Alligator mississippiensis: one gene and its partners. The protein of the gene in region 3 purifies or fractionates together with the protein of the main gene of each other region. This does not show direct contact. Links are inferred from orthologs where the notes say so. Each region holds a gene or a part of one and is shown on either strand. Other genes may lie near its edges. The genes, in order: STAU2, DHX30 and EIF2AK2.

What was found.
Region 1: the proteins of EIF2AK2 (region 3) and STAU2 purify together in Homo sapiens (affinity purification with mass spectrometry; 3 studies listed by BioGRID and IntAct, with this or other methods). This does not show direct contact. The link is inferred for Alligator mississippiensis from reciprocal best matches to the Homo sapiens genes EIF2AK2 and STAU2.
Region 2: the proteins of EIF2AK2 (region 3) and DHX30 purify together in Homo sapiens (affinity purification with mass spectrometry; 3 studies listed by BioGRID and IntAct, with this or other methods). This does not show direct contact. The link is inferred for Alligator mississippiensis from reciprocal best matches to the Homo sapiens genes EIF2AK2 and DHX30.

The regions. Positions count from the first base shown.
Region 1 is NC_081826.1:59,010,409-59,017,658, forward strand, and holds the start of STAU2 (double-stranded RNA-binding protein Staufen homolog 2), read left to right. Parts: upstream 1-4,250; 5' UTR 4,251-4,341; intron 4,342-7,250. UniProt on the Homo sapiens protein: RNA-binding protein required for the microtubule-dependent transport of neuronal RNA from the cell body to the dendrite.
Region 2 is NC_081828.1:217,718,400-217,726,249, forward strand, and holds the start of DHX30 (ATP-dependent RNA helicase DHX30), read left to right. Parts: upstream 1-4,840; 5' UTR 4,841-5,825; coding exon 5,826-5,951; intron 5,952-7,850.
Region 3 is NC_081824.1:166,423,452-166,431,017, reverse strand, and holds the start of EIF2AK2 (interferon-induced, double-stranded RNA-activated protein kinase), read left to right. Parts: upstream 1-4,531; 5' UTR 4,532-4,554; coding exon 4,555-4,790; intron 4,791-4,954; coding exon 4,955-5,157; intron 5,158-7,026; coding exon 7,027-7,135; intron 7,136-7,566.

The DNA of each region.
Region 1 (7,250 bases), on a different chromosome or scaffold from region 3:
TTCCCACGCACATGGATAGGGTCCTGACTGGGCCATTCCTATGCAGATATATGGAGTCCCATACCAGATCAGGCCCACAGAGCCAAAAGGTGAGGCACCACTGGTCTAGGCAGCTTGAGAGGGAGCAGCTGTCTAATCTGGTAAATGGTATTTTACCTTGGATCAGTAGATTTGGCTTTCCAAAGTCTTTGTAGAATGTACTGAATGCAAGGTCCTTATACTGTGCTTTTAAAAACATTTGTAAAAGGCACAGAAACAACAGAAAAAAGGAAGAAACTTAGGCTCATCACTTAGGAAGTTTGATAAGGCAATTTACAAAACAGGACAGATGTTTTATTAAATTATACCTATGAAATTAAAAAAGTATTCAAATACAAGTGTTATGACTCTAGGCACAAGAGCTCTGGTTGATTCTCAGACCAAACAAGTAGAACTGAGTAGAAAAGGTGAAACAAGTTAATTTATAATTTCAGATCTCAGAAATAAGTGGGCAACTTGCATACTTTCTAAAATTTACAGGTGAGAGCATCCTGTTAAAGTATTAATACTTTATATGATTAAAGCTCCATTCTACCTTGCAGCATAGGCAGGAATGTTACCAAGTGTCTGTAGACTTTCCTAAAACTTTAAGGCAATTTGGTGTTTAAAACATTTAAGACACCAATTATTCTGCCAGATGGATAGGTACTTTAGCTGGGAGGCTGTTAAAGGGGTCATCTGTATTATCTATGTTGAAGCCCTAGGTTATAATATGACAAAAAGAGTGTAATACTCTACACTAAAAAGATTTCATATGAAATGACACAAAAATGGCGGGGGGGGGTTGGGGTTGGGTTTACATTATAATGCCTTTTTCGTATGCTTTTTATCCCATGACTGTCAAACAGTTCTCAGAGCACTCCTTGGAAAAACCTCTCATATATAAAAAAAAAATAAAAAATAAAACATGATCTTGAAGCAAATATTTTTAGGAGACTCTGGTTTTGACATTAACAGTATATGTCTAATGTACAAGGGCACGATCAGGAGAGTTTTCCTTTCTGGGACAGTCTGTGAGATTAGAAGTGCATTAGCTCAATATAATGGGTTCCATGCCATTTCTAGTTGTAAAAGGTACAGCCTTCAGATTTTGGGTGGGCTGGGGGAGAGGTTACTTGGTTTTGTTCAGATGCTTACTGCGTATTTTAAGTTAGTTTTTGTCTCATCTGATCTGATGTTAAGCTTTTCGGTAAAAAGACCATCTTGGGCAGAGCTGAGCATGTTGTTGGTGTGTAGCAATAGGTGAAGGATATTTTTTTGTATTCAGTGTTCTGATATTTGATTATTAATTAGTAAAGAGGTGGGAGGAGGAAACATTCCTTTCCAAGTTGGGTTTCCTGAGAATCATAAAATTTAAGGTAGAGTAGGGTTACCATATTTCCACTTCCAAAAAAGAGGACACCTGTTGGGGGAACACCTCACTCCCCACCCACGGCCTTCTGGCCCTGCTAATGCCCGTTGCTCCCAACCTGCAGCCCCCCCATCCCTGCTGCTGCCCCTCACTCCCAACCCACAGTCCCTCACCCCCCCCCCAGGTTATGCTGGTGCCCCTCATCCCTGCTGGTGCCCTCACTCCTGACCCACAGTACCCACCTGCAGCCGCCCAATCCCTGCCAGTACCCCTTGCTCCTGATCCGCAGCTCCCTACTCTCCCTAGCCCTGCTGGACTGGGGCCCCAGTTGCCCTTGTCCTGAATGGGCCAGGGTGCGATGGCTCTGATTCATGCAGGCAGCGGTACAGCAAGTCCAGCTCTGGTGCAGGCGGAAGGGAAGAGGGAATTCCTGTAGCACCCCCTGCCCTGGGCCAAGGCTCCAGCTCTGCACCAGGTGGCTTGGCCATGCCCCCACACCCCAGCAGTGTCTCCTGGCCAGCCCAGCCCCATGAGCATGGGCACCATCCCTGGTGCTGCCAGCCTGGCAACAGAGCTTACCTCTGTCTTCAAAGGGCACCCCCTGCCCCCTTCCCTTGCTGGAGGACCAGGCACAAACTGTTCCCCTCCTCCCCCTGCCACAGCAGCCTTGGTGCCCAGACTTCTCCTAATGCCAGCAGACACCCGCCACCCTTGCACATGCCAGCTACCCACATGCATACCCAGTCATTGGTGATGCATGGGGGGTGCACATGCACCCCCTGAGATTGGTGATGCATCCCCTGCGATTGACTGCTGCTGGTGGCGCCTGCAGGCAGTTGCCATTTACCACCCCCTACTCTTGCTGCTGACACTGCTGTCGGTGTCTGTTGCTGATAGCTGCTGTTGGCAGCATCTGCAGGTGGTTGCCAACTGCTGGTCGGTGCTTGTCACCCCTCCCCCCCCCCCACCGCCAACATCACCGCTGCTGCCTGCGGGCAGTTGCCATGCCCCCCCTCCCCCCCACTGCCAACATCACCACTGCTGCCTGTGGGCGGTCGCCATGCCCCCCCAGCCTCCAGGGGCATGCCTCATTCATGCAGACAGTCCCCAAGCCTTGGCCCACTAACCCCTGCCTCCCACAGGGATTGCTTCCATGACCCTGCCAGGTTGCATGCCGGCCACGTGCCCGCTGCCTCCAATTGTCCTCCCCCCCAGTGAAGCAAAGCAAAATCAGTTCATATTAAAAACAAACAAACTGCCCTGATGGAGATTAGAGGGTCCAAAAAGAGGACATGTCCAGGAAAACCCAGACTTATGGTAACCCAGTTGTAAGTCTCATGGGTGATTTATTTCAAGCCAAAATGGTGGCTTTTATAGAGGTTCTGTTTTCCTTTACTTACCCACATTTTCCTCTACCAGCAGTTCCCAGTTTGTGGTATAGGTACCACCAGTGGTACACAGACAGCCTTAACAGGTTTATTATAATTACTTTATATGACAAAAATTTGCTGGCAGTACTTAAGTTTGTATCGTTTAAAAGTGGTGGTGCACTATCTGTCAGAGTTTGGAAACCATTGCTCTACTCATTGAAACCATTTCAATGCTTTTTTACTTGGGCTGTGTCATGCTCCTCTTTGCTTTTATCTTTAACTTCCTAGACTTTAAATGCTGGAGGCTGCAAGTGAGAGAGGAACAGTGGGGTTTGGAGGGGGGCTGGTCCTACCCAATTTACTTTCCTTTCAGCCTCTGCTGTCTGCTCCTGCTGCCACAGGGACCTAGGACACAGCCTCCGAAACAGAACTTCCTAAACCTTAAAGGCTGGAGGCCACAAGGGGGAGAGGAGCAGGGAGACAAGCCCCGTTCATTCTCCTTTTAAGCATCACTCTCTGCCCCTGTGCAACACAGGCCTGTTTGTTCTGCTACTGGGGAAGTGTGGGCCTAGGCCTGCCAACTAAAACTGTAAGCCTTCCTTTACAGAGGAGGCTACTGAAGGTGCAACAACTGGTTCTTGGGGCAAATAAAAGAAAAACAGGGGAAGGAGTAAAGAGTGTAGGTTTAAAATGAGTGCACCAAGGGCCAGGGGACATGCATACTGAGCAGGGTACATGTGCTAGTGCCTGCTGGCCCTCAAATGAGTCCAAGGAGCTGGTGGGCCCTGCCCAGCGAAACTACACCGGAGACGCGAACAGGGGGGTGACAGGAAAGCCTCCCTGGGGGCTCCTGGTTGGACATGCCGCCAGCTCGGCTGCAGCCAGGAGGAGGCTGCCCGGGGCTCGGGTAGGACGGGCCCCAGCTGCTGGCAACCCCTGTGCTCTTCGTCTGCCCGGAGCAGGAGGAAGCGCCTGCGTTTCACACGGGGCGGCGGGCCGGGGCGAAGACGAACTATCCTGGAGCTTTCGGGACAACCTGCAGGCGAGGGGCGGCAGTGTGAAGAGGGGGAAGGAAGGAGAGTCTCTCTTTATCCCTCCCCACGCAGCGCGGCTGTCGGCGCCTTCACCGCCCAGCTCCGCCTCGGCCCGTCCCGGCCGGTCCCAGTCATCCCGCCCGGGCCGGCCGAGCCCCCAGCGCCGTCGCCCGCGCGGAGCTGGGAGCGGGTCGGAGCCGCCGCTAGGGGGCTGCCGCACGACCGGCGGGGAGGGGAGGGGAGGGGAAGGGAAGGGAAGGGAAGGGCGGCGGACGGGGCCATTCGCGCGGCGGCGCGGGGGGGGGCGTGGGGCGCGGAGCGGGGCCGCGCGGGGCGGGGGTGGCGGCGGCGCGGGCGGGCGGGCGGCAGGGGGCGGCGGCGGCGGGGCCGGGCCGCGGGGGGCGGGCGGCGGCGGCGGCGCGGGGCGGGGCGGGGCCGGCGGCGGAGGGGGGCGCAGTGGTTGGGGCCGGCGGCGGCGGCGGCGGGGTCAGTTCTCTTTAGTGTTTGCCGATGTTGGAGGCGTCTCCAAAGTGTCCCCGGGAACCAGGTAACGGGGCTGTCCCGGCCCGGCCGAGCCCATCCCGGCGGCGGGGCGGGGCGAGGCGAGGCGGGAGCCGCGGCGCCGGGACGGGGCAGGGGGCGCCGCTGCCGCGATGCCGCCCCCTCCCCCTCTCCGGCGCCGGCCCGGCCGGCAGCACCAACACTCCCGCCCGGGAGTTGCGGGGGACGTGGAGCCGGCTGGGAAGTGGGGGGCGGCGCCGGGCCGAGCCCGGGCCGGTATCCCCGCGCGGCTTGGCCCTTCGCGCCGGGCCGGGCTGGGCCTGGCCGGGCCTGGCCGCAAGGGGCTGCGCGCTGGGCCGGGTCGGCGGCTCGGGCCGAGGCGCCGGCACGTCCCCGCCGGCCGGGGCCGCAGCAGGCCCCGCCGCGCCTCCTCGTGCCGGCGGACGTGGCGGCCCCGCGCTGCCTGGGGATGCTTCGTCCTGTAGAGAGCGGCGGCCCCCGGCGGCTCGGCTCGGCTCGGCTCGCTGGGCTGCGGCTCTCCTCTTCCCGCGTCGCCCTGGCGCCGGGGCCCCGGGAAGCAAGTTCCTGGTTGAGGACAACGTGAGAAGTGCGGGGCTGGGGGGGCTGGCCTGGGCCCTGCGCCTGGGAGGACCAGGCCTGGGCGGCTTAGGAGAGACACCCGGAGCACCTGAGAGCTCTTCTGAGCAGGCTTTTTTGGCTGGCTGCTTCGGCAGCCCAGTCCTGGCGGGTTTAGGAGGCGAGACGCCCAGAACTCTCCTCCAGGCAGCCTCTTCGCAGGCTGCTTCTGAAGTGCCCTCCACAAAGTAACTGTGGTCTCAAAAATGGGAGCACATGGTGAAATCGGTGACGCTTTGCTCCTGGCAGACTTTCCGTACACACCAAGACATACCGGCCATGGGTCACTCTGGGAAAGCTTTCTTTTGACTTCTTAGGCTTTCTACTAGTTATTAGACTTGAAGGATTTGTGGGGTCTGGGGAGCTCAAATTCAGCAGAGGAGCACGTGCAGTGCGCTGTTGCGGACAAGGCTGTGCGCTGTATGTTGTATGTAACTGTAGGTAATGACTTGAGATCCTTCTCTCCTATCATGACAAGGCCCTGCTTACACGGAGGAAATTTGTGCAGGTATAACTACGTAGGCACAAGTACATCCCGTTGGTGCTGGGGCGTACGCTGCTACATCTTAGGGTGGTGTATTACCAAATCATGATGCACCAGCGCAGCCCCTGCTTTGTCCTGGCGCAGTGTCTTCTTGTTGAGGATTTATACCTGTGTAACTGCAGTAATAGAGTTACACCAGTATATATTTTATGAATGTAGGCAAGGCCTTTTTTGCTGAACAGGTTTTTGTGCGACACTACTGCTTATGAATGGTGCCAGATTGACAGCCAGCTGAATGAAGCCCTTTATCTCAGGAGCCAGCAGCAGTGTAAGATTTCCAGGGCTGTCCAGTTAATGAACCTCAGCTGGGCCCCAGAGGGACCACAGAAGGGTATGAGAGACTTCAGTCCTCGTGTGCATTCAGTGCTTTGCCTCTCTGAGATCCCCATTACTGGCCACTGGGAACTAGACTGTTGCAAGCAGTTTATTACCCATAAGCTGTTAAGGCAGCTAATGATGGCAACTAATTTGGGCTAGATTTAGACTAGCAGTGAGTTTGAACTACCCTGTTCACCAACAGTTATGTTTAATAACACTGTGCGCTTGAATGGTATTTTATACCAAAGTCTGAAAGTCGCTTACAAAGTATTTTGACACTGGGAAAAACTGCATTTTTTGAAAGATAAATGACTTGCCCAAACTTGAACACTAAATCAGTACCATAGCTCACTTAGCCCATTCTTTTGGGCAAAGACCAGGGGCTTGATTTTTCTCCCCAGATTTACCCCTGTGACTCCACTGAAGCAGGGTTGCTTCTGATTTACATTGATGTAAATATGAGACGGAAATTAGTCACGTAAGTGTCCTTCCCAAGGTTAGACAGTAAACTGGTGTCAGAGCCATATCTTCTGAGCCTAGGGTTGCTGCTCTAGCCATGAGGAAGCTGCACCTGTTGTGTTCTTCTGGAGAGTTTGTCTTGAGGTGCCTAAAATATATGTCTATAAATGTCTTTGTAGAGAAGAAATATATTAATTCCTAGTGTGCATTTGGAGTCCGTTACTCTTCAGTCAAAAATTGTATCTTTCTAAAATATGTAATTGAGAAGTGGGCTTTGTAAGTTGTAAACTGATATTATTTTTCTAAGTTTTATGCTACCAGAGGGTCAAAGACTCTGTTGCTTGTATAAGCTATAGGGGTAACATACTGATATCCATATGATGTCTTTATGACTGGGGACCTACTGAAATCGTGGTTTTGTGATTTTTGCAGGACCGTTAAATTGGTAGGTCTGCCACAAAAAAGCCCAATTCCCATGGAAAAACGCGGAGACCACAAAAATGGCCAGTGAATGGGGAAATAAAATGTGCGGGGGGGAGCTGTAAACAGAAAATGGTGGGACGCCCTGGGGCCAGGAAGCATGAGGGGCTGGGGTGGGAGGACAGATTTTTGTGCAGCTGCCACCCCTCCACTCCCCCCTGCCAAGGGCCCCCAGTAGTCCCACCCCTCCCTAGAGATTGACAGGTGACCACCTATCAATCTCTGGGGAGGGTCAGGACTTCCAGGGCCCCTTGGTCAATCAGAGATGCGGGGGCTGCTATGCTCACCATGAAAGTGGCAACTAGTGCTGTGCTCAGATGGCAAAATTGATGGGTCAGCTGCCCTGAATTCTGTAGGTTCCTGGTTATAACAGTGTAACCATGCACGTGCTAGGGCTTTTCCTAATGAAATAGTTAAACAGGTAACACACGCAAACCAGGTATAGGACTATTGTTTATTCAGAATACTCAGTTCAAGTCCCAAAACGCACAAGTTCTCTACAAAATGTTTTCTTTCAT
Region 2 (7,850 bases), on a different chromosome or scaffold from region 3:
GTCTAGATCCAATTGCAGCCTATTCCTCCCTTCCAGCATGCCCACATCCCCCCACATCTTAGTGTCATCAGTCAATTTGAACAGGTTGCTTTTCACCCCCTCGTCCAAGTCGCTGATGAAGATGTTGAACAGCGCAGGCCCGAGGACCGAGCCCTGGGGGACCCCACTGCCCACATCCCTCCAGGTCAAAAATGACCTGTCCACCACCACTCTCTGGGTGCGGCCCTCCAGCCAGTTAGCGACCTATCTCACTGTGGAGGTGTCGACGCCACAGCCCCCTAGTTTTTTAACGAGAATGGAGTGAGAGACAGTGTCGAAGGCCTTCCTAAAGTCCAGAAAGACTACGTCCACTGCTACCCCTGCATCTAAGGATGTTGTGACCTGGTCGTAGAAGGCACCAGGTTGGTCTGACAGCACCTGCCTCGAATGAACCTGTGTTGGCTGCCCCTAAGCATGATCTGCCCTGCCGGCCCCTCGTGGACATGCGCTAGAATAACTCTCTCAAAAAGCTCACCCAGGATCGAGGTAAGACTAACTGACCTATAGTTCCCTGGGTCCTCCTTCCTCCCTTTTTTGAAGATGGGGACCACGTTGGCCCTTTTCCAGTCCTCTGGTACAATGCCAGGGCACCACGAGTGCTCATAAAGCTGTGCAGGGGTCCCGCAATGACCTCTGCTAATTCCCTCAGCACTCGGGGGTGGAGATCATCAGGACCAGCTGATTTAAATATGTCCAGTCCCTCCAGAAGTTCCCTGACTTGATCCTCGCTGACCCTAGGCCTGGCTGCGCCTCCCCTGGGGCCTGAGGGGGTCCCGGCGGACGGGCTGATCCGGTCCCTGCTCAGGAAAACGGAGGCAAAGAAATTGTTAAATAAGTTAGCCTTGTCGTCTGGTGTGACAACCGGATTTCCTAGCGTGTCTTGCAGAGGTCCCACGTTACCTGGCACCTTCTTTTTGCCCCCTATGTATTTAAAGAAGGACTTCTTGTTGTCCTTGATCCAGGTAGCTAGTCCCAGTCCCATCTCCGCCTTGGCCTTCCTGACCACCCTCCTGCAGCCCCGAGCACCCGAGGTGTAGTCCTCCCTGGGGATGGTCCCTCCCTGCCATTGGGTGTACGCCTCCCTTTTAGCCAGGAGACGTTCCCGTATGCTCTTGGTGAGCCATGGGGACTTTTGCACCCTCTTGCCCCTTTGACCCATGTTGGGATTACCTCCCTTTGGGCTTGGAGGATCGTCTCCTTAAGGAACGACCACTCTTCTTGGACACCCGACTCCCCTCCCCTCCAGGACCTCAGTGCTTCTCCAACTAGTCTCCTTACCTCATTGAAATCTGCCCTCCTGAAGTCCAGGGCTGCTGTCTTGCTGCAGGCTTTTGCCACCTTGCACTCATTGCCACTCATGGCAATGAAAAATGAGGAGGCTGTTAAAGGAATACCCCCAAATGCTGACACGTTACATTTCCCTTGAGCGCAATGACGCCTGTGGATGGATAGTTACCAGAAATGAGGGGCTCGATCTTGCAGACACACACAGCTCCCTTTACCCCGAGAAGCAGTCCCACAGGTGTCACTGGGATGAGGAATGGCAATGGTTTGGGGTCTTGCACCTCAAGATGGCAGATTCAAATCCAGCCCAGGTGTGGGCACAAAGAACCTGTTCCTGAAAGGTACCGGACACCCATTTGATAGAGAATAACGTAGCCCAGGTTCAAGAGCAACAACATGTCTGAGATGAGCTGCAGGATTTGTATAATTCCTCGTAAGGGTATGGTTAAACAATACCCTGCTTGCTAAGGTTGGAATTTGGCTTCAGATTTAAGACATCTGTGACATGTACAGTTCCAGCTTCGTTGCACAAGAGTACACGTGACGTTTGCTATACAGAGGAGGGCACAGGGACAATCAGGCACTATCTCCTAGTACAGGTGTTTCTGTGAAAGCACCCTAACATGGCTCTCGCAAGGACCGTCACCTGGAGAGGCTGGAATGAATTCCTGATTAACCTTGTACGTGCCCGGGGACAGTCCCAATTTCCCCTCTGCTTCTCTCTCGCTGTGCCGGTTGCTCCCTGCGCGTCCTTCTTTGTCTCCAAGCCCTGCATCAACTACAATTAAAGCACGCAGGCAGGGCTTGCAGCAGACAACCATTTAATTAGGGGAAAATGCAACAGTTATTGACCTCTGGTGCTTCACGTGAGAACTGCAGTGGCACAAATGGCCTTCATGTCCTCGCTCTCCAGGACTGGGCTCTGCTCCAGCCAAAGAAAGACCCAGACCCACATTATCGCACCCCAAACCCACACCTTTCAGCTGGAACGGACTGCAGGGCCAGGACCTGCAACATCCCACAGACCTTTAGAGACAGGATCTAGACAGCTTGGACCATGGACCTAGCCAGGGGACTCTAGTTGCGTGATACACGTGCCCCCTTCCCAACCGAGACTCAGGGCAGCTTGCAGCACGAGAAACCGACTCAGAGAAAACCAGAATAAAGCAGAGACCCACGACATAGCCCCTCAGCCCAGCTCCGGTGAGGCAGGCATTTACATGAGTACATCTAGGATGTTCTTTTCCCTCTCATATACTTAATTTCCCCCTCCACACATCATTAATATGGCAGAGCCACACAACAGCTTTATTGTGGATGCTTGCCAGGCCTTTATCCTGGGTACGTGGGTGTGTTGCAGACGTGAGGAGGTGGTCAGCAGTCTGTGGTGCAACACCACACTCACATACCGGACGGTTCTCCAAGCCAGTCTTACAGAGCGTGGCATTAAAGCATCCAGCTCCAGAGCAAATCCTGTTTAGTTTAATCCATAAATTGCTGATTATGGATCTAGGAACTTGCAGACTTACGGATCTAGGATGTTGAAAAGCAAGGTGCAGATGGTGAGGCGCATCATCACATATAAAGAACACCTATTTTTCTCCAGGTGAAAAGAAACTAGAAGCTTTACTAATAGGCCTGGGGATTGGGGCTGGATGAGTCTGTTTAAAATTGAGGCAAAAACAAATACAACTTCACTGGAATTAAAGCAGTATCTGCAGGGCTGTGAAATAGGAGCTCCAGCACCAGGCGCAGGCAATGGACAGCAGAACTGCAGACCAAAGGATGCTTGATCGCTGGAACATCAAGACCGTTGAAAGGAAGAGGGTCGTCCACACCTGTGGGATGAGGGGTGTAGAAGGGATCTGATAGGTGACAACGGACTCCCTCAGCGCTGCCTGACCAGCAACGCTGCCGTCACTGCCCGGCAGCTGGTTTTAAACTATGGCTGGAGCCGGACTCAAAGCGGGGTGCAAATGCACCACTGCATCCCCCGGCATCCACCCCTGGGCATTTAGCAGCCAGAAACACCCAGGCTCAGGCAGCCTCAAGAGGGAGGGAGCTCCAGGGCTGCGCCGTGGTGGCTGGCAGCCATCTCCCCCCGTTCCAGCCCAGCGGACTCAGCACACGGCTGGTCCTTGCAGGAGGCTGCCCTTGCGGGGCAGAGGGACGGGTTCCCCTCGGGGCCTGGCTGTGTAGGGCTTTGTAGGTCACACCCAGTGCCTTGAATTGCTATATGGGACTAGGCTGCTATATGGGACTGGGCAGTACTGCTATGTGAGCAGGGAGGGCGTCGCAAAGGTCTGTAGCAGTCCAATCCTATACAGCCACACGTCTGGTCCTGTATAGCAGCCTGGTCCTATACAGCAACACTGGCCTGTCCCGTATAGCAGCCTGGGCCTGTACAGCCCCCCTGACCTCCCACAGGGCAGCTCAGTCCTACGCTGCCTGGTCCCATACAGCAGCACTGCCCTGTCCTGTCTAGCAACCTGACCCCATACAGCCCCCCGACGAGTCCCACAGGGCAGCCTGGTCCCATATAGCAACACCGCCTGGTCCCATACAGCATCCTAGTCCCTAGAGCAGCCCTGCCCTGTCCTGTATAGCAGCCTGGTCCCATACGGTACTGCCCAGCCCAGCCCCATACAGCAGCCTGGTCCCATATAGCAACCTGGCCCCATATAGCAGCACTGCCCGGTCCCATATAGTAGTCCGGTTCCATATAGCAGCCTAGCCCCACATAGCAGTACTGCCCAGTCCCATATAGCAGCCCAGTCCCGTATAGCAGCACTGCCCAGTCCCATATAGCAACACTGCCCGGTCCCATATAACAGCACGGTCCCATATAGCAGCCTAGCCCTACATAGCAGCACTGCCCCGTCCCGTATAGCATCCTGGTCCCATATAGCAGCACTGCCAGGTCCCATATAGCAACACTGCCCAGTCCCATATAACAGCCCAGTCCCATATAGCAGCCTAGCCCTACATAGCAGCGCTGCCCTGTCCCGTATAGCATCCTGGTCCCATATAGCAGCACTGCCAGGTCCCATATAGCAGCCTAGCCCTACATAGCAGCACTGCCCCGTCCCGTATAGCATCCTGGTCCCATATAGCAGCACTGCCAGGTCCCATATAGCAGCCTAGCCCCACATAGCAACACTGCCCAATCCCATACAGCATCCTGATCCTATGTAGCAGCACTGCCCGATCCCTGTCCCCTAGGCGCGCCAGCCCCCATTGGCCCCGCCCCCGCGCTCCCATTGGCCCCGCCGGTTGCCATGGCGACACGCCGTCTCCCCCCCACATCCGGTAGCCGGGCTGCGGGGCGGAAGTCGGCGCGTTCAGTTCCGGGCCATGCCCCGGAAGCGCAGCGCGCGGGCGCCCGGGAGCGGTAGTCCCGGCGGGCGAGGGCCGGCGCCGCGGAGTTGCGAGGAGGTCGGTGCGGGGGCCCGGCGGGGCGGGGTGGAGGGCGGGGGGCCGGGCCCGAGCCCCCAAGCTCGCGGGCGCGGGGAGGGGCGGGGTCCGCGGGCGGGCCGCGGGGTCGCATCCTCCGCGCCCGGCTTTGTGGAGACTCTCCAGCCCGGGCCAGACCGCCTGCAGCTCGGCGCCGCGTCCGCCGGGGCCAAAAACAAAGCTGCCATCGCCGGGGTCCGGAACGAGCTCCGGCATCCTCCGCCATCACGCCTCGCGGCGGCCCCTCGTGCCCGTTAGTCGCGGGCCCGCCCCTCCTCGCGCGTGGGGGCGCGAAACACGGGAGCCCTTCGTCTCGTCTCGGTCCGGAGGAAGAGGACGGCTCCGCCAGGCTCATTATCCTGCCGAGTCTTAGGGGGCCGCTAGCGGTCATTCGCTGACCGCGTTGCCTCTTGGCGCCGGACACCGGTTGGGACGCGGGGCAGGAGTCCGCTCGAGCCGCTCGCTACGCCAGAAGGTGCCGCCCGACGATCTGCGGAGGCCTCGTGCGACCCCGAAAATCTGTGAAATGGATGAATTTCTGGGGCGTGCGTCCCCGCGTGCGACCGTCTAGGTCGGCCGCCCGGTTTGTCAGCGTTTAGCTCGTGAATCGCCTCCGGGGAAGTTTCGCTCGCTCAAAAGACACGTGATTACTTGCGACCGCAGTGGGACCGCTTGGTCGTCCGCGTAGACTGAGGCAGGAGGTCTTTCTCGGTTGCCTTTCCTCTCCACTGAGAGTTTTGCCGTGAATATTTGAGTAAGCGAGCGGCGTTTGGGATCGGGTCCCTCGTACGCTCTTTGGAGAGGGAATACAACTGTAATGAGTGTTATAAGTTGTAAGCTCATGTCCAGGGTGCACGTATGTGTTACTGACAGCTTGGATCCATGCAGGAAAGAAGAGCCTGAAGAACCAGACCTCCTGGAGCCAGCTGTCCTCTTTAAAAGCGCTTGGAGGTTAGGTGAGGAAAAGGGCAAATATATAGTGCCCAGCTTTAAGGAAGGAAAGGAGGAGGACCTGGGGAGTCAGCCTGCCCTTGATACCTGGGAAGATCATGGAGCAGGTCCTCCAGGAGTCTCTTGCGAAGCGCCGAGAGGACAGCCGAGGGATCAGGAACAGCCCGCATGGATTCCCCACGAGCAAGTCATGCCTGACCAACCTGATTTCCTTCTACCATAAGGTGACAGGCTATGTGAATGGGGGGCAAGCAGTGGATGTGATGTATAGACCTTGGCTTTAGCAATGCTTTTGAAACGCTCTCGCATGACAGTCTCATTCGCCAGCTAAAGAAAAGAGGACTAGACGAAAGTACTACGAGGTGGATACGTAACTGGTTAGATCACCTGTGGTCTGTGGACCTTGGGGGTCCGCAGACTATGTCTAGGGGGTCCGTGATCAATCAAAAGTATGTGAATACTCACACTTATAATTCAAAGGGGTCTGTGCTTCCATTCAAAATTTCCACTGGGCTCTGTACCTCCACTTGACATTTTTTAGGGGTCCGCAAATGAAAAAAGATTGAAAACCACTTGCTTAGATTAGATTAGGCATTAATGGCTCAATGTTTAGTTGCAAGGAGGTATTAAGCGGGGCTCCCCTAGATTCTGTCCTGGGTTTGCTGTCGTTCAGCATCTTTATGAATGTTTTGGTTGATGGGATTGAGTGCACACTTAAATTTGAGGATGTCACCAAGTAGGATGGAGTTGCGGGCGCTTTGTAGGGTAGGATACAGAATGACTTGGACAGACTGGAAAAATGGCCAGCTGAGATCCAGCACGGAAATGTGCAAAGCCCTGCGCTTGGGATAAAATACTTGCATGCACAAATACAGGCTGGGGAATGACTGGCTAAGCTGCAGGACTGCAAAGAAAGACCTGGGGGTGACAGCGGACCATAAGCTGAATATGAGCCAGCAGCGTGATTTCGTTGTAAAAATAGCCGACAGCACCCGGGGTTGTACTAACAGGAGTGTCACTTGCAAATCACAGGAAGCGATGCTTCTCTGTTCAGCACTGGGGAGGCCTCCCCCCGGAGTACAGGGTCCGGTTCTGGGCTCCACACTTCAGAAAGAATGTGCACAGATTGGAAAGTCCAGCGAAGCATGACAGAAATGATTAGGGGCTTGGGAAGCGAGGAAAGGCTGAAAGAACTACAGTTATTTAGTCTGGAGAAGAGAAGACTGAGGGGGGATTTGATCACAGTCTTCAAATACCTGAAAGGCGATTGCAAAGAGGATGGAGATGCGCTTTTCTCTGTGGCTGTAAGGGATAGGACTAGGAGCAGTGGCCTCAGGCTACAGCCAGGGTAATTTAGGTTGGAAATGAGGAGGAAATTCCTGACTGAGGGTGGTCAAGCATTGAATGGGCTGCTTGGAGGACTTGTGGAATCTCCATCCTTGGATATTTTCAAGAGCAGGTTGGACAAACACTTGGTTGGGAAGGTTTATTTAGGGATGGTCCTGCCTTGAGCAGGAGGCTAGACTAGATGATTTTGCAAGATCCCGTCCAACTTTACTTTCCTATGATCCTGCTTATATGGAGAAGAAGCCACATCGCTTTTTGCCTAGTTCAGCTTTTCCATGCAGTTTAAACTCTTTATCACTAAAATAAGGTCTGGCTTTGTGTATATGCTGGGAACATCTCCGAGTGCTGTTTTCATGTAGCTCTACTCTGAAAAGAGGCTTTGCATTAGGTCTGATTCTGTCTCCCTGGAATAAATAGGATTTTCCCATTGACTGCAGTGGTCACTCCAAAAGTATAATATTAACATTAATAATAATTACTATTAACAATTACAGTGGATGATTAATATTTTAATATGAATATGGACATTGTCATCTGAATGGGAAGCCCGCCCAGCTCTGCTTCCAGTTTGTTACAAAATCCTTGCTACTCTATCAGATGTACCCTAAAATTGTCCTACCTTTAAGTGATCAGGCTGAGTAGATCCTTTCCCAAATTAAGCTTTGTGGTCCTGGCATTTTTCTTGTTCCCAGCCAGATGTCCTAAGCTCCTGTTGAGGAAACTGCAGGCAAAGCTGCATATTGAAAAAAAATTCATAACTTCTTAGCTGGGAAAAA
Region 3 (7,566 bases):
CAGAACTCCTACAATGGTGTGGTGAAAGGTAGGTCTCATTACACCTGTAAGGCCTTAGCATGGCAGTCAGGCAACTTGGTCACTAACACTCAACCCCTTAAGTAGGACCAGCTGAGCCTGAGCCTGCTGCTTGGTTCCAATGCTGCTCTTAGGAGCTTTGGCAGCACCTAGCCCCCGCTGTGCAACAAAATAGCCTCAGTCTGCATGTAGCTCTTGTCTGTGTGACTTCCCTGGAGCCTGTTCCAGTGTTTCAGCCTGTGTACCCAGTCCCTGAACTTTGGACCCCCATTTGACTTTGGGTCACGTGGCCAGGAACGCAGGTTGGCAGCTTGGAGAGTGGCATCCAACCAGTAAGTCTGTAGGGGGGAAGGTGTGGGGGAAGAGGCATAGAGGGGTGCAGATTGAGGCCCCCACAGTGAGGGATGGAGTGGGGCTGGGGCAGGGGTAGATGCTGCTCAGCCTGGGTGGGGTGGGGCATGGGATGGAGCCATGGGAGGCTGATCTGGGGGATGCAGGGGGTGGGAGGGGGCAGCTCCTTGCCTCTGCGTGCTCCCCAGGAAAGGCATAAAGGGTATTTTGTGTGTGAGGTGAGGGTGGGCTGAGGGCTGTGCCAGCCTCTTCCAAGTGGGAGGGCTGGGCTGGGGCTGCACTTGGGGCAGGCGGTATTTGGAGAGGTGGTGGTGATGCTGGGAGGGGGGGCCATGGGGTGGCTATAGTGAACTTTGGGGTGGCTGTAACCCACCTTGTAGCCCCACTCCCAGCACTGCCACTGCCTACCCCACCCCTGACCCTCCCTTCTCTGAGTGTAGCTCTGGCTCATCCCCCCAGCCTTGAGCCCATAGTGGGCAACTTGCTCTTGTCCTGCGCACAGATCTGGGGGCACATGCCCCCCAAGTCTACCTTGGAGGTGTGTGCAGAGGCAGGAGCTGCCACCCCCATCCCCCGACAAGCCACCTGCAGCCCCAGTCCCACTCCCTCCTTCACTGCAGGGCCTCAGTCTGCCTCTCCCCATGCCCTTTTCCACCGCACAGACTTACCGGACACTGCCCTCCAAGCTGCCTGGCTGCATATCTGCAATTGGATTAATACTGGCTGATATGGCTGATAAATAATCAGCCATCAGTATTGGCCAAAAAAATCTCTGGCCAGCAGCCAAAGCATCTTCTGGAAGGACTAAGCCTCTGTCTGCCAGTGCACACTCCTGTGGCATACACCGCACCACTTCTTTTTTCATAGTGGTTTTTTTGCTACTGGAATTTCCAGTAACAAATTTTGCCCCCACACTGCAAATTTGCAGTGCTGCACATGCTTTAACATGCCAGGTATAGTTTGTGGCACTGCAAAGAGGTTTTCAGTGCTGCAAACCACATGTGCCTGCATATCTGGATCTGGCCTGACTGCCATTCAGATTTCCATCCCCTGCCCAATCCATTGCTCTGCTTTCTGCTCCCTGCCTCATCTGTGTCTGTGCTGTGTGCGCTCTTCCCCAGTCTGGCAAGTGCCACATGCAGAGGTAGCCCATGGCACTTGTGACATGTGCCACAGTGTGACTGTCCCTGAATTATCAGATGACTTTCATGGTAGATTTAAAGACTTGCAAATACTGAAACTTGTGAACTCACTATTGATTGGTGTGATTTAATGAAGGCTGCTGGTCTACCCACAAATCCCTACTCGCCCATCCATCTGCTGTAGGAATGGGCGTTCTAGCACTCTTAGAGCAGTGTTTCTCAACCTGCGGGTCATGACTGTTACATCTCAGCTGTGTGTTCTTGGGAACCCTGGCACAGGATGCAGTCTGTCTGATTCACCCCCCCCCCCTTCTCTACATAAACAAAACTGATTAAGAGGCAGTGAGAGACACACCTAAGACCCTCCAGATAAGGCTGACAAGGGTGGAACAACTGCCCTAGGTCTCATTTGCATCTGAGATAGAACCTGATGACCATTCATTTACATGAGAGATGGAGAACAGAAAGCCTGAAGCAGAGACTGCAATGAATGCTGGGACCAGAGAAGCAGGGGAGCACTGCATGATGGGGAATCTGTGCTCCAAATGCTAATCAACCCATATTCACACACACCCAGCTCAGCATTTATCAGACCAGTTCTAATCTGGATCTACAAAGGACTCCCTTCCCCCCCCCCCCCCCCACACACACACCCCCACCTCTAAGTTTAATAGGCATCTTGGGCCGTACATTTCCCGGTCCCACTATGGGAGGCCTATTTAAACTTGATTGACTAAAGCTCGGTTGCCGGGTTAGGGAATGCTGAGGCAAGAGACCGAGTCAGAGGGGGCAGGGGCAACATTTGAACAATGGTTAAGGGTTCATTGCAGTGTCCAGCCTGTTGGAGCCCTAATCACAGGTGTTGTCATACTTTTCCCAAGATGACTGGTGGGAGTCCTCTCCACAAAAGGTTATGAGCACCCCAATAATTGTCATAAGTCTGTTAAAAGACTATAATAAGATCTGGAAAAGTCATGCTAAGCTGAGGCTTGTTCACAACAAGTGAAAATCCAAAATCCTGATGCTGCAGGCTATCTATTGTTTCTGAAGAACCCATGAGATATCCCATCAGTATATCTGCTATCCATAGGAATTTCAAGCTGGCTCCCAAGTATTTGGTTACTCCCTAATCTTATGTATTTCCTGATTATCAGTCAGTTTCTTGAGGTGTTCCAAACCAGATAACCCCTTGTCAATAGAAAAGACAATGATTTACACAATTGAGGATGCTTTGAAGCAGCTGAACTGAGGGTATAAAAATCTGTAAAAAGTGTGAGTGCTCAAGAAAGAAAGAAGAAAACTCCTGTGCTGACACCATTCCCTGTTCTTCTTGGGACGCTGGAAGAACAGATCATCTCCCTTCAAGGACTGTGCCTGTCAGCTTTGCAGCCTGAGTACCTTGGACTGGTGAGATCCCAGCACTCTCTCTCTCTCTTTTCTCTCTAGGCATAGATTTCTGAACCTGAACTGTATTAGTTAAGCTTGAGCTAAGTTTCCCCAAATACTTAGTGAAACCAGGGTAGTATTGTAACTGTGTTTGTTTTTTTTTTTCTTTTGCATGTCTATTACTACTAGTACTATTATATATTTCATATGCTTAGCAATAAATAACTTTTATAGTCAAACTGGTAGTAACTGGGTATATTTTTCCTTCTCTGCTTCTCTTTCCTCCCGTGCTCTGCAGCAACGCTTCTTTTACCTAAGCTAAAGATCCCTGTGAAGCCCAAAAATACTGTGGGGTCTGCTCATCAAGAGGCCAAAGATTGGGACGTGCTGAGTTTGAAACACATAAGGGGATCAGCTTGTACAGGCTGATTGACCCAGTTTGACTCAGACGTGCCCTTATGAACTGAATGCTGGCCCATGAGGGTGTCAGCTGGACACCCAGCCGGATTCAGAGGGATTCTGTTTACCTGTGTGCTTGTGTCTGACTGCAGTTTATTGTTGCTCTGATGAACTGATTCTTGGCATATGAGGGTGTCAGCCTGTCCATGCTGATCAGCCCGGCCAGGTCAGGCGTGTCACGTTAATTTGTGTGTGTTTGTGTGTATGACTGATTTGGTGACTGGAGGAACCCAGTCTCATTGAAATTGAGTCCTGCAAGATAGCTTCATTGGGGGTGAGGGCTTGAAGAAGGGAGAGATGCAGCTCCATATAGTAACACAAGCAGCACATTGACAGAATTACCAAGACCCTAGAAACTATCCCTAATAAATGAGCACACCCCAAAGTAATGGGCAAATCTGGTAACATGACCCAAAAGTGGGTCGCAAGAATATATGAAAGGGTCACAAACAAAGTTTAAAAATGGATTCTCCTTTCAAGGAGAAAAATGTGGGAAACTGTGGCTTTTCCCTTGCAGGCTGGCAGAGCTCCAGCCCCTCCTGCCCCACACACTGGAGGGCTGGGGGGCAGCTGGTTGCGAGTGAGGGGCACTGAATTGGGACTAGCCATTGCTGTTTACAAATGGGTCTTGGTTAGGGTGGCCATCATAGAGGGCAGTCTGGTTGTCCTCTGTCCTCTATTGCTACAAAACCAGATGCCTTTATGTCCCCTATTTTTTTTTTTTTTTTTTTTTTTTTTTTTTTTTTTTTGTTGAAGAGGAAAAATGGAGAACATAAAGGTGTGGGGTTTTGTATCAATAGGGGACAGAGTAGCAGGACACAGGCATGTCCTCTATGACAGCCACCCTAGTCCTGGTACAATACAAAAACAGTTGAGAACCGCTGTCGTGGAGGAGATGCGTGTCTGAGGCTAATGAATACATCAGTGCATTTGGGTGCGATGCTTTAAAGGCCCCCTGTGCTCTGGAAGTGCTGTGTCATCCTCTGAACATGCGGCTCCTTCATAACTTGGTTCCGCTTGACACCCTCTGGCTGGAGGAACAGGGCCCAGGGCCGGATTCACCCTTTCGTGGGCCCCCAGGTGAAGAGAGAAACTTTTATATGACTTTCCCCCCCACTCCATTCCAATACGTAAAAATAAGCACTTCTTCACTTAGGGCCCTAGGCACCTGCGTTCATCCGGCCCTAACGGGCCAGCAATGCCCCCGGGCTTCGTGTGCCTTCGCCCAGGCTCGGCTTGCCCGGCGCGCCTCCCGCGCGGGGCCGGCCGGGGGAAGACCGCGCCCTCCGACAGCCCTAGCTCGTCCGAGCCAGGCGCAGCGGGCGTGGGCTGCGCCGCTTGCTCCGCGCCTTCGCTTTCGATTCCCGGCGCGGCGGGAAGGGCGGGCGCGGCGGCAGGAAACGAAACCGGGCGGCTGCAGCGAGTGGCGCGGCGGTGAGTGGTTGCACCGTCCGGGCCTCGTGGTGCAAGGAGCGGGTCCCCCGGAAGCAGTGGGAAGGACACCACTTCCCCGCCCTCCCCGGGTTGGGGATCCTGTGGGGAGCGGGGCAGGAGTGGGGCGCCGGGAGCACCCTGCTCAAGGTTTGGCCCTTTTCTAGTCCAGGAGGCAGCTGCGTGAGGAGCTTTCCGGCAGGATCCAGTGGGAGGCAGGCAGTGGGACAGCAGCTGGAAGCGCCCTCCAGGGCTGGCGTGTGGTGCAGCCCCTGCCTGAGGCCGGATCGTCCAAGCCTCTGGGCAGAGCTATCCTCCGATCTCTACATCCCACTGACCAGCGCAGACCTAGCGCCCACACCTGCCACAGGTAAAGGGGGCGGGGCGGGGTTGGCTGCTCTGCCCACAACATGCCCTGCCTTCTTTGGGGAAGGGGACATTTGAGGGTTATGCTGTAAGGTCCTCATCTCCCCCAAACTGGCCCAGATTTGGCCCCGCGACCCCACAAGGCAGCTGGAGTCCAAGCTTCCAAAAAGCTTTTAATACAAATTTTTTCCTCCCTCCCACCCTACCTAGACTGCTGACAGCCCCAGGCAAACTTTTAGTCCCCCTTCACCAGAGATCATGATAGTTATAATAAAAAAATTACTATTTTTGCACCCCCTTTCTGTCTGGGCCCTGAGTGGTCTCCCAGTTTGCCCATGCCTGTGTCCGGCCCTGCTCCCACCCCACACACCGCTGCTAGAAGGAGGGGATGGGTAAAAGAAAAAAATGTGGATCCATCGTTACTTAGGGAAGGGATTCGTAATGTTTGTGTGCCCAAGGGCACATTTGAATTTAAAAGAAAAAGCAGCAGGCATCAATAATGGTGGCTACAAATGTCCAACTTGGGATCCTTAAAATTCTAGTTTATTAGGCGGATTGAAACACCGTAATCATAAACCTTGCGTCTGGCACACACACACACTCACACTCACACTCACTCTACAGAGTCAGGTATACCTATCCTACAAGCACTGGAGTCTGTCGTTATGGCTTCTTTCAGTGTGGTATTATCTTCCAGAAGGGGGTCACCGGCTGGTCCTTCTGGCTGGACAGGTCTGGTCAAGTTGGAGATCAAGAGGGCGCCAATGACAGTCACTTTTCACTGCCTTTTATTTGTCCCTGGCAGACTTTGGTGACTCCCCAGTTTTCAGGTTTGCCCAATCCAGGGGTTATTGACCCTCGTGGAACTTCCCCCCCCCCCAGTGGCTACTGGATGGCATCTGTCAGTCCCAGGGGTCGTCCGCATGTACGTGCAGGTTTGGGAGTCCGTTGATGAATTTAGAATAGGGCTCTGGGAGCGGTTGATCTGGAGATACTCAGCCCAAAAGTTGGTCCCCAGCGTTGATTAACTCAGGCCAGGGCTTCTAGCCCTTGATCAGTGAGGTTTACAGATTTCGCGGTTGTTCCGTTGTCTTCTATTGAGTTCTTCCCTTGGTTGATCTGCAGCTTCCAGGTGTTAATTGCTGCCTGTTGCTACAGTGTTACACATTCAATCACTGATTCACTCCCTCTTTCAGGTGCCAGTTTCATACAGGGAAGGACAGTTTGATTCCTACCCTTGTTACAATGTATAACTTACTAAAACACATTTAGTTGAAAGGTGAGGAGTATCAAATATAAGCTACAAATGCCATGGCACACAAATAGATAAAAATACCAAAATACAAGAGGAGATACAAAATGCACACACACAACTTTTAAAACACAATTCCTTATCTTAAAGTGAGAGAGAGAGAGGAAAGAAGAAAAGGTAGAAAAAGAGAAACATATCCAAAGAGGGGAGAGCAAATACAGGCAAGAGGAAAAGGGGGCTTTCTGCTACAATATGACAGCATTTTTTTAATGGAATAATTATTTTTACTGATCAGGAAAACTTGGGCGATGGCGCCAGCGTGCACTGTGTTGGGAACCACTGATTTAGTGTGACCATATTTCTTGAACCTCACTTCCTCTCTACCTCTTCTCTCTGGCATGCTTGGCTGTTTCTGAGCTCCTCAACACACCTCTTTTAGCATGCAACAAATATTTTGTAGCAAAACAGCCTATAATTCTCTACGCTCAGAAACACTTCCTGGATCTGTGTCTGTACCCATGAAGTATAGGGCTGCCATCTCTGTGTTTGCTTTCTTATATTCTTGGGGCAGAGACAAATGCTAAAAATATACATTCACTGTCAATTTTTCCCCCCTTGCAGGTTGGTTCAAAATGGCATCTAAGAAAAAGCTTAATGAATATTGTCAAGCATGTGGATTAAAGGTGTCGTATGAGGTTGTCAGTGAGGAAGGCCCACCTCATGATCCCAAGTAAGTTCATAATGGAGGCCAATGGATCTTCATTAGTAGTCTGGAAGGTGGTAGGGAGTACACTTTCAGCAAGTTTGCAGATGACACCAAGTTGGGGGAGTAGTAGTATGCTGGAAGGTAGGATTCAGGGAGACCTAGACAAATTGGATTATTGGACCAAAAGAAATCTCAGGAGGTTCAATAAGGCAAGTGCAAAGTCCTGCACTTAGGATAGAACAGTCCCATGCACTGATACAGGCTGGAAGCTGATTGGCTAAGCAGCAGCTCTGCAGAAAAGGACCTGGGGGTTATAGTGGACAATAAGCCGAATGAGAGTCAGTGTGCCCTTGTTGCTAAGATAACTAACAGCATACTGGGCTGCATTAGTAGGAGCATTGCCAGTAGATTGAGGGAAGTAATTACAGGCAGTCCTCAGACTTATAGATTCATAG